Linked DNA regions of Arabidopsis thaliana. The protein of the gene in region 2 interacts with the protein of the main gene of each other region in a pairwise test. Each region holds a gene or a part of one and is shown on either strand. Other genes may lie near its edges. The genes, in order: AT3G19120 and MYB41.

Region 1 (7,439 bases), on a different chromosome or scaffold from region 2:
TCTGCTTTTAAAGATTGTTATGACATTTGTTAACTTATGGTCAGAGATCCTTCTTAGAGATGTTCTATTGGCTGTCTAACTATTTCAAATTTACTTCTCTTACAGGGGAGGAAAATACTCTGAAGATGATGCAAAAGCAGTGCTTATACAGATCCTTAACGTCGTAGCTTTCTGTCATCTCCAAGGAGTTGTTCATCGAGATCTAAAACCAGAGGTGAACCGCACTTTTTGTCTTTGCTTTTTCCTTTCAAAACCCAAAAGAAATATTGTCTTAGTTGAATACCAATCTCACATTTGAAACACTTTCATGTTTCAGAACTTCTTGTACACTTCCAAGGAGGAGAATTCTATGTTGAAAGTCATAGATTTTGGCTTATCGGACTTTGTCAGACCAGACGAAAGACTAAATGATATAGTGGGAAGTGCATATTACGTAGCCCCTGAAGTTCTACACAGATCTTATACCACAGAAGCGGATGTATGGAGCATAGGAGTCATAGCATACATTCTCCTATGTGGAAGCCGTCCTTTTTGGGCAAGAACTGAATCAGGAATTTTCAGAGCAGTTCTAAAAGCTGATCCCAGTTTTGATGAACCTCCTTGGCCTTCGTTATCCTTTGAGGCAAAAGATTTTGTTAAGAGATTATTGTACAAGGACCCTCGGAAAAGAATGACTGCATCTCAAGCTTTGAGTCAGTAATCTCTAAAATATCCACATCTTTCTATATTTATCTTCTGTTTCTAGCTTTTCATGAATCACCAGTTGAAGTTACTCCACGTTTTTTTCCGGTTTTTACAGTGCATCCTTGGATCGCGGGTTATAAGAAAATAGATATCCCATTTGATATTCTGATCTTCAAGCAGATCAAAGCATACTTGAGATCTTCGTCTTTGCGCAAAGCTGCTTTGATGGTACATTTTGCTTCTAACCTTTTTTACTGTTTCCAAACAACATTTAAGGATGTGTTTGATATTTATTACCTTTGTATCTAGTTTGCTAACTCTTTTATTCTCTCCAGGCTCTGTCCAAGACATTAACTACCGATGAACTTCTTTATCTGAAAGCGCAGTTTGCACACTTAGCACCCAACAAAAATGGCCTCATCACTTTAGATAGCATCAGACTGGTATGTGCCTTCTCTTCCTCTCTGTCTCTCTCTGGTAGAAAGCAAACAGCTCAAAGCTAGATTTATTTCTGTTGGACAGGCACTTGCGACAAATGCAACAGAAGCAATGAAGGAATCACGGATCCCGGACTTTCTTGCATTGGTATTGTCTCCTTTCTGTTCTTGTCCTTTTGCTTAATCTGTTTAAGATACAATCCAAGGTTGGTTAACGAAAGTTTGGTGTTGGGAAATGACAGTTAAATGGACTTCAATACAAAGGGATGGATTTTGAAGAGTTTTGTGCAGCTTCCATTAGCGTTCATCAGCATGAGTCTCTTGATTGTTGGGAGCAGAGCATTCGTCATGCTTATGAGCTATTTGAAATGAATGGAAACCGAGTTATCGTCATCGAAGAACTCGCTTCTGTAAGTTTATAAGAAATTCGACACTTGCTTCTGTCATGCTTAACAATTTATTCAGCTAATTCCTAAACGAAGGGAACATAAATGTTTTGTAGGAACTTGGTGTTGGATCATCCATCCCGGTTCATACCATTCTAAATGACTGGATAAGACATACTGACGGGAAGCTGAGTTTCTTGGGTTTTGTCAAACTGCTGCACGGTGTCTCGACTCGACAATCTTTAGCGAAAACGCGATGAGGAAAGTGACTCGGTGTTATAACGGATTCGAAAGAGGAAGAACATACAACTGCAAGAAGCAAATGGGTGGATTGGGGTTGGGAATTGGAATTTTTTTCAGGACCCATTCCTATGTTTATAGTGTTAGAAAAAGAATGCTAAGTTCCGACAAAGAAAGAGAGTATCCAGAAAAATCCGACAGGCCTGGAGAGTTGTATAATAAGATGATAATCCACAGTCGTGTTCTTCCAAATCATGGAAGACAGATATTAAGAACATCCCTTTCTCTTTTCATTTGGCTGTCTCCATTTTTTCCAGGAAAAAGATTCAGATTCCATTCACAATGTGCCACAAAGCAAATCATAAAAACCCATTCCTAAGTCACAAAACTTACAGTAACAGAGAGCTATTAATATTTCAAATTCGGAAAAACTTGCTTCTCAAGATTCCATAATCCATATCAATAGAAGTCATACATTTCATTCTCAAAAGGTGTTACAGAACAAACCATAAACCCATTCCTAAGTTACAAAACTGACAGTTGGGATGGCTAGGCAACAAAGTCAGCTTTTTAACATTTCTGAATCCTCAAACTTTCTTCTCAAGAGGATTGAATCTACAATGCTATCTAAAGTTCTAAACACTTGAAAGCATCTGCTTCTTACATGATAACAAAGATAGAAAGCTCCATTTTTTGACCAAGATCTGTTCATGTCTTTTACCTCGAGGAGAGTCTCTGGTGTAAATCTTCTGCCAATGCTTGCCTCAAACTCTCCCCGTAATAGTAAAACTGCCTCTCACTCTCCAAAACTCTTGCAGGCGTTCCAGCTTCATCTGGATCCTTCCAAATCTCCGGTTCAGGTTCTCTAGCAATCTGACAAAGATTATGCAACACACAACAAGCCACAATAGTCTGAGGAGCATGGTTCACACCAACATTCAAACTCTGAAGAATCTTCCATCTAGCCTTGAGCAATCCAATAGCTTCCACCACCACTGACCTTCCTTTCATCAACATTCCATCGAATAGATTCTCCGGTGGCGTACCAGAGCCATTTGGTGAAAATGGAGTCATCAGGAATGAGAGAAGAGGATAACACCAATCTCCAACAATGTATGGTCTCACATGGTGACCTCTAATATTGATAACTTTCTCCCAAACAATGTCTCCTGAAGTAAGCCTCTTATATAGAAGACTATCTCTGAAATGAGAAGAGTCGTCTTCTCCACCTGGAGCTTTCACACAAACGTCCCAAAAGATCTTCTTGTGATCAGCAACAACCTGAAGCAAAACGGCGTCGTATCCGTACTTGCAACCGTAAATGTTTCTAGGGTTTAGTTTCGTGCGGCGTCTGAGCTTCACCGGAGTACTATCAATGGCGCCGCAAATGTTGGGGAGAGAGGTGAGTTCTTCGAATCCCTGAGTCGTTTCGATCAATCTCCGTTTTCCGACGGGGATTTTGATGAATTCTGGATATAGCTTGGTGGCTAAGAGACGTGTGACCATGTTTGTGATCTTGGAGATGAGGTATGGATCTAGTGAGTAGCGAGAAGCTAGGGTTTTAGCTGAGCAGCCATGAGCGAGACGAGAGAGGACCATAGCGACGGCGTAATCGGCGGGGAGAGAGAGATTTGAAGCGGTGATGAATGGTTTGAGCTTGTCGACGACGGTGATGAAGACTGGGTAGGAAAGACCGTACAATGAGCGCCAACGAGCGTCGCGGAGAGGCGCATCGAGTGACCAGATGTGGTCTGTGGTTAGGGCACGGAAGGCAGCGACGGAGTAATCGCCGTCGGCAAGAGGCGGAGGAGGGGAAGGGGAAGGTGATTCTGAGGAAGATGAGGATTCGGTTGAAGATCTGTTGACGGCGAGGAAGGAGAGGAGAGATGCGAGAGTGAAGAAGAGTAAAGGCGCGGCGGAGGAAGTGGAGAGGAGGGAGGAAGGTGTGGTTGAAGACTGTGAAGATGTGGATGCGGAAGAGAAGAGAGTGCTTGTAGGATCTAATGAGTTTTGGAGATGGAGAAGATGTGAGAGCATCGCCATGAAAGCTTCTTCCATCTTCACTCTCCGATTTTTTTCTCTCCGGAGAGGTTGAGAGTAGAAGAAAAACTGAAGAAGTGAGAGAGAAAGGGCTAATAGCTAAAAATTTAAAATTAATGTGAGTTAATAAATATAATTTTAAAGTTTTGGGGTTGTTTGTTTAATTTCAGAAAGTTTTGGGCTTATAAGCAATTCGTAGAAGGTAAGCGGAATTTTGATCCAACAAGTTGCAACCATTTATATTAGTCTGAGACAAACCAGTAACCAAAATTTTTGAATCTCCTCCAAACAACAAGTCTATCAAAATCAAATCCATCTAACAAAATTCTTCTTTCGACTACAGGTTTTAGCTTTGATATGTGAAACCATGATGAAGATGATCACTTGATGAGTCTCTTCAATTCTCCCCATGATAGTTGTTGGAGTCGTGGTGGTTAGCATATCCTCCTCCATTGTTGTAACCATGTCCTCGTGAGTATCCTCCATTCCACTGCTGCCCTGAGTCTCCTCTCCACTGCCACAAGTTGAACACATTATGAGAACTAAAAAGAAATCTATTGCCAGCAGAACCAATTTGGTTAAGTCCTAGACCAAAACATGTCGACATAAGACCATGTTCAGGGTTGGTGACACAAGTTGGACATGGAGACATGTATTAGATATTCTCCCACTTGCATAAGTCAAAATAGAAAACGAAGGGAAGGTGCTAGATTCCACCAGCTATTATTGTCAACCACTGACTTTACTTTTAATAACAAAACAAACAACTATTCACAAAGTTTGACCCTAGCAAAATACTCAATTTACTCTTCTACTGATAGAATGCATCAACTCCAAAGTGAAATTTTACCTGCTTGTTTGGGCTTCGTCCCCAGGAGAGTCTGACAGTGTTCTTGCCGATGACTGTCCCGTTCAAACTCTCGATAGCATCTTCAGCACTCTTCCTGTCAAAACCAAAGGCAAGTCGCTTTGAATTACTCGCTATGAGATAAGCACCTACAGGTTGCTCAATCATATGATTGCCAAGCCAACACTACTAACTAGATGAAGACAGCACCTGTCAGCAAATTGGACAAATCCACATCCTTTCCCTACTGGGATCTTCACTGAAACAACCTCTCCAAACTGGGAAAAAGGTTGTCTGAGGTCTTCATCAATAACATCAGGGTCAATGCCGCCAACAAATATCTGCAGTAGAATAACCTAAGATGAGCAGCAAGAACATATAGAGCTTGAATGATGCTGACATATAACTAAATATGACAACTCACTGTTGCGTTAGTTGATTCGCCATCAGACTGCGAGCCATAACCCATGGAACCATTTGATCCATGTCCACCAGCCAGAATCACAGCTATTCCAATGAAAACATAAAATCTTTATAGTTCAAAAACTTTGTTGAATGCAACAAGTTGTTAGCTCTAGAGTCCTATGGATTAAAACTGGCTCACCTCTCGCTTAAAACTAGTACACTTAAATAGAAAGAATCAGAGGGTAAAACTAGTTGCAGAGAGAAGTATGAAAAGAAACCTTGTGAAGAATGTTGTTGCTGATTAGCAATCGCTCTTTTGGGAGTTGCAATACCTACACGCATTTGCCTGTTCGAACAGTAAGCTCCATTCATTTCTGTCAAAGCCCTTGACCTCTCATTTTCATCACCGAACCTCACAAAACCATAACCTTTGGACCGGCCGGTGTTGGAATCAATCACAACTTTGGCGCTTTTGACAGAAGGATATCTATCAGAAAAGGTCTCATGCAATAAAACGTCAGTGACATCTGGAGACAAGTCTCCCACAAAAACAGATAGGTCTGGACCATTTTCCACTGCTCTTTTTTCACCAGTACTAAAAGATGCCCAGTTTATACGGAAGGGTTGGTCCGAGTTTGGCATCACTGAACCACTATAGTTCTGAAGAACTTCTTCAGCTGCAGCACGTGAAAGAAACTCAACAAACCCATACCCTTCTGATTGAGAAGTGAGCTTGTTACGTATAACTTTCACAGAAGAAACCTGCTCATCACAAAAAAAAACAAGAAACTTCAGAGAAAGAACAAAACAGAACACATGTATAACTGGATATAAGTTTATTCATGAAAAGTGAAAATCTTATGCAATCATTCTCTTTCATACCAGAAAAGTTTTAACTAAACGTGGCAAGGTACAAGAGTACTTTTTGCCTAACGAAATATGAACTTGTCCTGTCCTTTTCAGGTCAAAGTTGTTCTCCATTACCCTATTTGTTTCTATATCCATTGGATCTAATCTAATCCAACTAACTAGTTTTTTAAAATAGCTACTTGGTTTAACAATGAATCAAAACACAAGAACATGTCAATGATTTGCAAAAAGGATGAATTTTTAACCATATTTACAAGTAACAATCTAAATCCAAAACAGAGTACCAATGAACAAGATAATACCTCGCCGGTGTGAGAAAAGCAAGAATGGAGATAAGTCTCATCCATCCAATGAAGAAGATCACCAACCCAAAGAGTCTTGACATCATCTCCAGATCCACGGTCAATAGCCTTGTGTTGCTGGTGCTGGTGCTGTTGATAAGACCCGTATTGGTGAAGCTGAGGATGATGCTGCTGATAAGGACCTTGATTATACGGAACATATTGATGAGGATACATCAGCATCTGTTGCTGCTGCATCATCATCATCGCCGCCGCTGGTGGATATTGCATGGCAGCCATCCACTGTTGCTGTTGCTGTTGCTGCTGCTGCCACTGCTGAGGTGGAGGAGGGGTTTGTTGATTCGGCGGTGTGGCTCCGGAAGTTGCCAACGTCGAATCTGAGCCGTTGGTTGTCTGCATCTTGATCCGATCTGATCTCCGGAAAGGGAAAACAGAGTCTCCGAGTTGTTTTAGATTCAAGAGTTTCGAGATTCTTCTTCTCTATGAATATATTTCGTTCCAACAAGTGTGCGTAAAGAAAGTGAGAGCTCGTTGAGCTCTGGTAATGGCGGAGAGAGAGATAGAGGTAGAGAGAGATTTGGTCTTAAAAGGAGGCGGAGAGAGAGAGAGAGAAGTGAGTTAATGGGTTTAAGGCTGAAACAATGGGTCTTGGGGAAGTGGCCGAAACGTGGGGCCCATTTACGTGCTTAAGCCGTGTTGTTTTTTGAGATCGACGGCTCTGATTCCACCGCATTTAGCCACTTACATTTAATTATTTCACCTTCTAGGGTTTTTAAAATATAACTGACTTTTTAATCATTGGGTAAAAACAAAAACATATTTACGTGATAATATGATTAACCGTTTTGTACTGTCATGAAAGAGTCAGCTGTTCTACAGTAAACTCTAGGCCTATGCAAATTAACCGAGCCGTTTTACTGTTCTACAGTAAATTTTAAAAGTATGTAAATTAACCGAATCGGATGTATCGAACCGGAACTAAAGTAAAAAAAAAAAAAAATTACATTAAACCAAAGATTCGAAAAAAAACAGAATAGATATTTTAGAATCGGTACCAAACCGATATAAAATACAATTATATATCCAAAACAAAAGTTATTTATAAACTAAATAATAAAAATATTTGAGAATATATAAAATCATAAAAATATTCAAAAATAAAAGAAAAATATCCATAAAATAATTGAAATATCTAAAGTAAAATATTTGAATGGATACTAAATGATAA
Region 2 (7,439 bases):
GATTCATTAATATAATGGAAAACAAAAAGATTGCGTGTGAAAGTGAAGGGTTTCAGAGTGTTGCAGTGCTTTGGGTCTATACGAAAAAAGAAAGTTTCTGAAAAAGCACATCTCCAATTGTTTGCAACCTAAAAGGATAGCCAAAGAAAAACCAACAATGTGCTTGTGTGTGTCTCTTTCAACATAAACCCTAAAATTAACAGTAAAATTTGTTATTGTGAGTTTGGTGAACATGTTACTCATGGATAGAGAGTGACAGCTACTTGAACATTCTGAAGAAGACTTCACGCAAATGAAATCAAAACATTTATTATGCTTTTAAGGATAAGAAAAAAATTTCATTAAATGCTCTGTGAATCCTTAGTGTAGGGACTAGGGACATAAAGAATGAAAATTTAATGTGACGGAATGCGAAAAATTTGAACTTAAGTTATAAAAATTGAACCTTTTGAAGAGCACCGAGGCATCTGGTACAACCGGAGTAAGAAGAGTTCCGGCATTCTTTTTCAAGATTCTTCACGGCGGCGGTCGGAGTTGCGTTTTTGAAGCCGGAGGAGACATTGAAAGCGGCGGGACAAGAGAGTGAGCTAATCTGGTGGAGACGAATACCACAGAAGCACAAGATTGCGTCACAGCTAGAATTAGGCTGAGGGATCTTGATTTGTTTAGTCAAAAGCGCACTTTGCAATGTGTTGACGCACTTCTGAGAGTCGTCAGGCTTCATGGGTTCGTCGGGATCAGAAGATTCCGGCGTTGGAGCAGGAGCTGGTAACTGGAGAGCAGAGCGAGCGTGAGCTGCGAAGAGCCAAGCGGCTAAAACAGGGCAACATCGACTCCGGTCAAGGTTTCTTCCGCAAGCTTCGTTGACGCCACCGAATAGCTCGTTGGAGAGGTCAAGTCGGCAGCTTTGAGCTTGGGTTTCGACGGGGAAGGCTGGTACGGTGTTGGGTTGGACCGGTTCGACGAGTAGGTTGCTCAAGACGGTGGAGAAGAGGAGAGAACAGAGGAGGAGGATGAGTAGAGTGAGACTTTTCTTCATTCTAAATGGCTAAAGAGAGAGGGAGAGAAATGGATTTAGATATTGAAACGTTTTCTCAAATCTGAGTCTTTTAAGATTCTGAGATTCACGAAGAAAAGCAGCCTTCCATTATTCACTATCTTCTCTCTCTTTTGTTCTGTCCAAAGGACTATTGTGAAGAGAGAGAGAAGAGAGATGTGAGGGAAGAAAAACAAGAGATTCCTGACTTTTGGCAGTTTCTGGTTTGTTTTAGAGTCTATAATCCCTTTGTAAACTGTGTTTAGCTCCGGAAATTATAGGCCTTGTCTTTTTGTTTTGTACTACTAGTTCTAGTAGTAACTAAGAATTCTTAACTACATGTCTACATTAGTAACTAAGCATAATGTATAGTTCATATTTATCCATGTACATTTGTAATGTATTTACATGTTCATGTATATAACATGGTGGCTTTTAATTTCGCAAAACGCTAGCAAAAATATGTGAAAGAGAAAAATTTAAAGATAGGAGTTAGAGAAAATAAAAAAAAGATATGAATGGTGGAGAAACATAACGAGCCCTTAACGAGGTGGGATGAGATGCGAATGGAGCATAGTCACAGGAAGAAAAGGATCGATATCTAAAGGACAAAACACAAAAACTCTCTACAATCATATATTAAATCATTGATACGCTTTATGAGCATTGACAAATCCAAAAATAAAAAGAAATAAACCTCTTATTTCAAACGGGTATATGAATATGAGCCGGAGGCCAGCCTAGGGAAACGGTCCGTCAGGGAAAAAGGTGAAAACTCCAAAAGGCGAGAAAAAAGGAGTCGTCCCCACTTTCACTAATGCATTTCCTAATCTTCCTCTTTAAGTTCCAAATTCCACCAATTAAAGCATTTTCACACGTTCTTTGTGTTGCTTACTTACCTGCCCATACCAATTAGTCAAAATGCCTTCATCCCTCAAATTCAAATTATCTATATAAGACTTAGATTTAACTGTTCCACACTTATCTCTTGCTTGGAATTGAAAAGTGAAAATATCATTTTATATAGACCAAGTTTAACTAACTCATATTATCGATTTGGTTTTTAGAAAATAGTTCTACAAGCTTCCGGAATATAGGCCTTAAATTGGCCAAATTAACGGCTTTAAAATGAACTTGAATTGGGCCTTGAATTGGGCCTAAATGATAGAACTCGCATAAACTGATTAACTTGATTGACGATGATTCGAACAAAGCAATATGAATATGTGATGTGTTTGACGCTAATAATTCTATGTTTGCTTCCGTCAACTGTGTATATGGACTAATGGAGCAGAATTTAGATATCTCGCCTAAGCAGATAATACATAAACATTCATGAAAATTTTATAGACTAATAACTTAATATCTTTTGAGAGAATAAAAACAAGAAATTTATACATCAAACAAAAGAAAGAATGCAACAAAGAATCATATGTGTGAAAGCAAGACATGTGTATGCAAATGTTGAAAATTAAAACATAAAGTCATCTAAGATGAAATCTTCCGGAATTCCAAAGTCGAAGAAAGTGCTGGAGTTGGTTTCTGCTTCAATGCTATTTTGTCGTGGAGAAGACATTGGCGTTGACATGAGCGAGTCTAAGTCAAAACTCTCTGACAAAGGTGGTAATACATCTGCAAGACCAACGTCGTCGAGTCTTGCGTTCATAGGCTCCAATGATGAAGTTTCATAGTTTGTTGGGACTGTACTAGTCTCAGCTTGTGGTTGAGACGATTCTGATGATGTATTTGGAGTTTGAAGATTTTGGTCGAGGTTCGATGGGTAAACTGGATTAGGGTTTTGAAGTGGCAGTAGTAGAGAGGCCAACCTCAATACATCAGGATTAAGAAGAGAAGACGCATGTGTTGCAACTGCTGAAAAGTTTGGCTGGTTGAAAAGTGCACTCAAAAGTGAGGACAAATCAAGAAGATCAAGGCGTGGAGAATGAGTAACAGGGTCGATACCACTCCTTACAAGTCTCTTGCGGATGTGAGTGTTCCAATGGTTTTTTATTTCGTTATCGGTCCTCCCTGGTAGACGAGCGGCTATTGCTGACCACCTAATATTCATCAATTCAATATTAGTGACATTAATCTATGATCAATACAAAACTCCTTTATTATTATTCTAATATAGGTCAATACGTACTAGTAAAGTACTAATAATAGTTTATTGGAGTTGATGGCCTACATTTGACATGTACCCCCGCATGCAAACGTACACTCTCCCTTTTTGAGTTTTACATTAATTAACATACAAAAGCATGTAGCTGATGAATATGAATTTCAGACAAAAATTATGGTGTGAATGATCAGGCTTACTTGTTTCCCATAACACTGTGTAGCTGAATGATAGTTTCTTCTTCCTCGAACGAGAATCTTCCTCTCTTGATGTCCGGTCTTAGATAATTGGTCCATCGAAGACGGCAGCTTTTTCCACATCTATGGAGTCCTTTAATTTGTACAATACGACTTATAAGTGTGTGACTCAATAAATAGAGAACATATATATTAATCTATGAGAACAAAATATAAGGAACGGTGTGTAGTTTATACGTACCAGCATTTTTGGGGAGCGTACGCCAATTGCCAGGACCATGAAATCGAATATAATCGATGAGTTTCTGATCCTCCTCAGCAGTCCATGGTCCCTTCTTCACTCCATTTTTATCACAACAAGGTGATCTTCCCATCTTTGTTTTGTTTCGCACAACTTTAAATTTCGATAATGATTTGGTTCTGTTATTTAGATAGAAAAAATCGAAGAGCCAAGTGGAGTTTCTTAATTTTCAAAAAGAGGAGTTGGATTTTAGAAATGTCAATGTGTGGATGTACTCATACCTTCTCCGTTCATTTGTTTATATAGGGATGTGAATTATGCGAAGAACTTTATCAATGTAGAAGAGAGCCAAGGTCAATTCCACTTGGCATGTACCTAATATGCCACGTCCTTTGAAATATACAAAAGGTTATAAACCTTGCTTAGACTACATATCGCCTAACGTTTTTTTTTTACTGTATATTCTAGAAACGATCCACGTGATAGTATGTATGGTATTTAATATAATCTATCTATCTAACTTAGATTCTGTTAGTTCAAATAATAATATCTTTATGCGTATATTTTGGAGTGATAGAATGTTCTTTTGTATGTTAATGTAGATAAAGTAATGGAACTAAGAGATTAAAATAGAAACCTTGTGGGGGTAACTTCGGCGGTGAGAGTATTTTATGTTTACCTTATGGTGGTGAGAGTCAGAGTGAAGCACATTAATAATTTTGCATGTTTTGCTTTTTGTTTGTGGGTTAAGTTGTTGACTTTGCTTAAACAAAAAAAGAGATGTTGACTTTGCATGTTAATATAGGTAAGTTGACTTTTACATAATGTTTGGTTTAAGAAAACCTGAAAAATTAAGTATGAGAATATATGTTACGTTGAATTTTGGAACATAAAGCCTAGAGTTTCAAAGGTTAAGAGAGTGAGGACGGTAAAGTAGTTGGATATTCTCATCAAAAAAACTTTCAAATAACGTGTTAATGTCATGTGCCTTGTGCTTTTAAAATTGATGATTGCAACATTTTACTTATGCAACGTTATTCCAAGTTTCAATTGCTTGTGGAAGGCTCTCTCCGAACAAGCCATCCACGTTGGCACTACTTAGACGATTTCAAAAAGCAAATTAAATAACTACAAAATTGCAAAAGAAGTGAAACTTTTTTATTTTATTTTTTATGTTTGTTAAATTGTTGGTGGAAAGCAGTGCAACAAACTTTGAATTCGATATCCCCTTTATCACAAGAACCACAGGCTTCTCCGAAGTTCACACCGAAGCTTATTGTCTACATTTTAAAATATTTTCACCTTCTTAAAATAGCAATGTGTGGATTCATGCAGAAGGTGACACATGGAAAGAGATGTGATGTGGGGTTATCCTTTCACTTCTTTTTTGCATCATTCTATCTACTCTTAGGTTTCTCTTCTGGATTGGTCATCGTCAGAGATTTACCAAAGGAAATCGGTCATCGTCAGAGATGATGTATTGATGTCAAGTCCAAAGATTGTGTCTAAGTCATGGCATTAGGAGATTCTCGAACAAGGCCTAATACTATAGCGCTTTTTACTTAATGGGCCATTAGTGGAATTAAGCTTTACACCCTTAATGGGCTTAATTGCTTGTAAAAATGAGCTCATCAGTGACGGGCTAAGTTACACTTTGTAATTGCGTTTAACCTTAATAAGTTAAATGTTATAAAATATAAAACAAATGATGACAAAAAATTAATATTTGTAGAATATCTAAATATGTATAAATTGGTATAAATATATTAAACTAAAGAAAAGTATGAAATATATGAAAGATGATATATAATACAAAGACAATGGACTCCATTTCCATATGTCAGCAGTAAATTAGATATAAATCCTTTAACAAAAAAAGTAATGAAAAAAGACTGTAATTTTTGACAAACAAAAAAAGCAGTAATTACTAATTAGATATGCATGTTAAAGATCACGTTTTCATGTGCATAAAGACCATTTAAGAGTACTAGTGTTTTTATCTATATAAAAGAAAAAGGAAAATCAACGTTGTGCCTTTAACCTTGTTCTAACTCCTAATTAGTCTTGGTATAGCAATACCATTAACAAAAGGTTATAAAATCTTCAGGATCTCCATTATTTAAATCTAATTACTTTTTCAAGACACGATAATATAGTAAACTTTATCTTTCAACCCCTTGAGAGATTTCATGGTATGATGTCTACTTCGATCGTCTTTTGCATGATTAACGATGTCGATTTTATATATTTGTTATTTGATTAATCTTAAATATGAATACTTGATGAGTGTTGATATGTGAATGGTTCAGTCAGAGACGAGTATGGAAAAATACAAGAATTTATCAGATTTCCTTAAGAAATTCTTCATACCTTCGTACGTTCTCTCGCCTGAAGACGAGCCTGAGGCGCAAATCAGTTGTACAACTGCACCTGAGAACCCAATCCTCGTATTCATCAACTCCAAAAGCGGAGGTCAACTAGGTGCAGAACTCATCCTTACCTACCGTACTCTGCTCAACGACAAGCAGGTCTATAATATATCAATTTAGGCTTTAGCCATAGACTAATGATTCATTGGTTTTTGAAATTGGCTTCTACAACAAAAAGTGATGAATTCGTTGATTCTTCTTAAATACGTAACTTGATTGATTTTATATCTGATTTTAACCTAAAAACCCTAAAAATCAAACTTGATTGAAATATGGAAACTAATTAAATTAGATAACTGTCTACATTATTTTACTGATGATCATTATCATATATTATATTTCCATGTTTTTTAATTGGTTATTAATTATAGCATATTTGGTACTCAGGTTTTTGATCTGGAGGTAGAGACCCCAGATAAAGTGCTGCAGAGAATTTATCTTAACCTAGAGAGGTTAAAAGACGATAGTTTGGCTAGCAAGATTCGGGACAAGTTGAAAATCATTGTGAGTTATCTTCATCGGTACGTAAATAGAAAAGGTGTTAATAATTTAGTCATTTGTCATTAAGCATGAGTTATGTTTAATTTAGGTTGCAGGGGGAGATGGAACAGCTGGTTGGCTCCTTGGAGTTGTTTCTGATCTTAATTTATCCAATCCACCTCCAATTGCTACGGTTCCTTTAGGTACCGGTAACAACCTTCCATTTGCATTTGGATGGGTATGTATATATACACTGATGATCACTCAAATCATATTATATCTCATAGAATATGTTTCTTCTTACTAAATCTCATCATCTTCAGGGTAAGAAAAATCCTGGAACAGATAGGTCTTCGGTGGAGTCTTTTTTGGGTAAAGTGATCAATGCAAAAGAGATGAAGATAGACAAGTATATATTCAATTACACATATATCATTCTCTTTCAATTTTCATATATTATACTTTGTTTTTGGATTGATATATGTATGCATTTTATATCTTAATCAAGTTGGAAGATACTTATGAGGATGAAGCATCCCAAGGAAGGCTCTTGTGATATTACTCTTAAGCTACCACATTCTCTTCCTCGTATTTTCCCATCAGATCAAGAAAATATGGTAAGATATTTTTCTTCTTTTGCGCATCATCTCTTTCTTTTATTCTTATATGATCAGCATTATTCTTTTCAAATTTTCAGGAAGGTTACCATACATATCGTGGGGGATTCTGGAATTACTTCAGCTTGGGTAACATTTTTTGCTCTTTACGTTCCACGTTGTGTTAGGTGTGAGATAAATGATATCTAAACATCATGTCAATGATATTTGAAACTTGGATTATAAATTAATTGTATGAATTGTCATGTTCAGTACTTCCACTGGTTGGTTGTATTTGTGGAAGATACAAGCTAATCCCTAATCAAATTTTACTGCAGGAA

What was found.
Region 1: the proteins of MYB41 (region 2) and AT3G19120 interact in a two-hybrid assay, tested with the Arabidopsis thaliana proteins (one large-scale study listed by BioGRID).

What each region holds. Positions count from the first base shown.
Region 1 is NC_003074.8:6,607,214-6,614,652, forward strand, and holds AT3G19120 (PIF / Ping-Pong family of plant transposase), read right to left. Parts: upstream 3,926-7,439; 5' UTR 3,806-3,925; coding exon 2,465-3,805; 3' UTR 2,137-2,464; downstream 1-2,136. Other genes in the region: AT3G19100 (Protein kinase superfamily protein), read left to right, coding at 106-214, 317-692, 800-912, 1,020-1,127, 1,207-1,269, 1,364-1,531, 1,624-1,767; RBP47B (RNA-binding protein 47B), read right to left, coding at 4,185-4,301, 4,638-4,731, 4,845-4,975, 5,059-5,141, 5,318-5,801, 6,212-6,610.
Region 2 is NC_003075.7:13,965,659-13,973,097, forward strand, and holds MYB41 (myb domain protein 41), read right to left. Parts: upstream 3,868-7,439; 5' UTR 3,727-3,867; coding exon 3,594-3,726; intron 3,486-3,593; coding exon 3,356-3,485; exon of another isoform or gene 3,105-3,355; coding exon of another isoform or gene 3,094-3,104; coding exon 2,508-3,093; 3' UTR 2,371-2,507; downstream 1-2,370. Other genes in the region: AT4G28100 (uncharacterized protein), read right to left, coding at 446-1,039; DGK6 (diacylglycerol kinase 6), read left to right, coding at 5,894-6,121, 6,410-6,526, 6,612-6,740, 6,826-6,911, 7,011-7,119, 7,200-7,248, 7,437-7,439.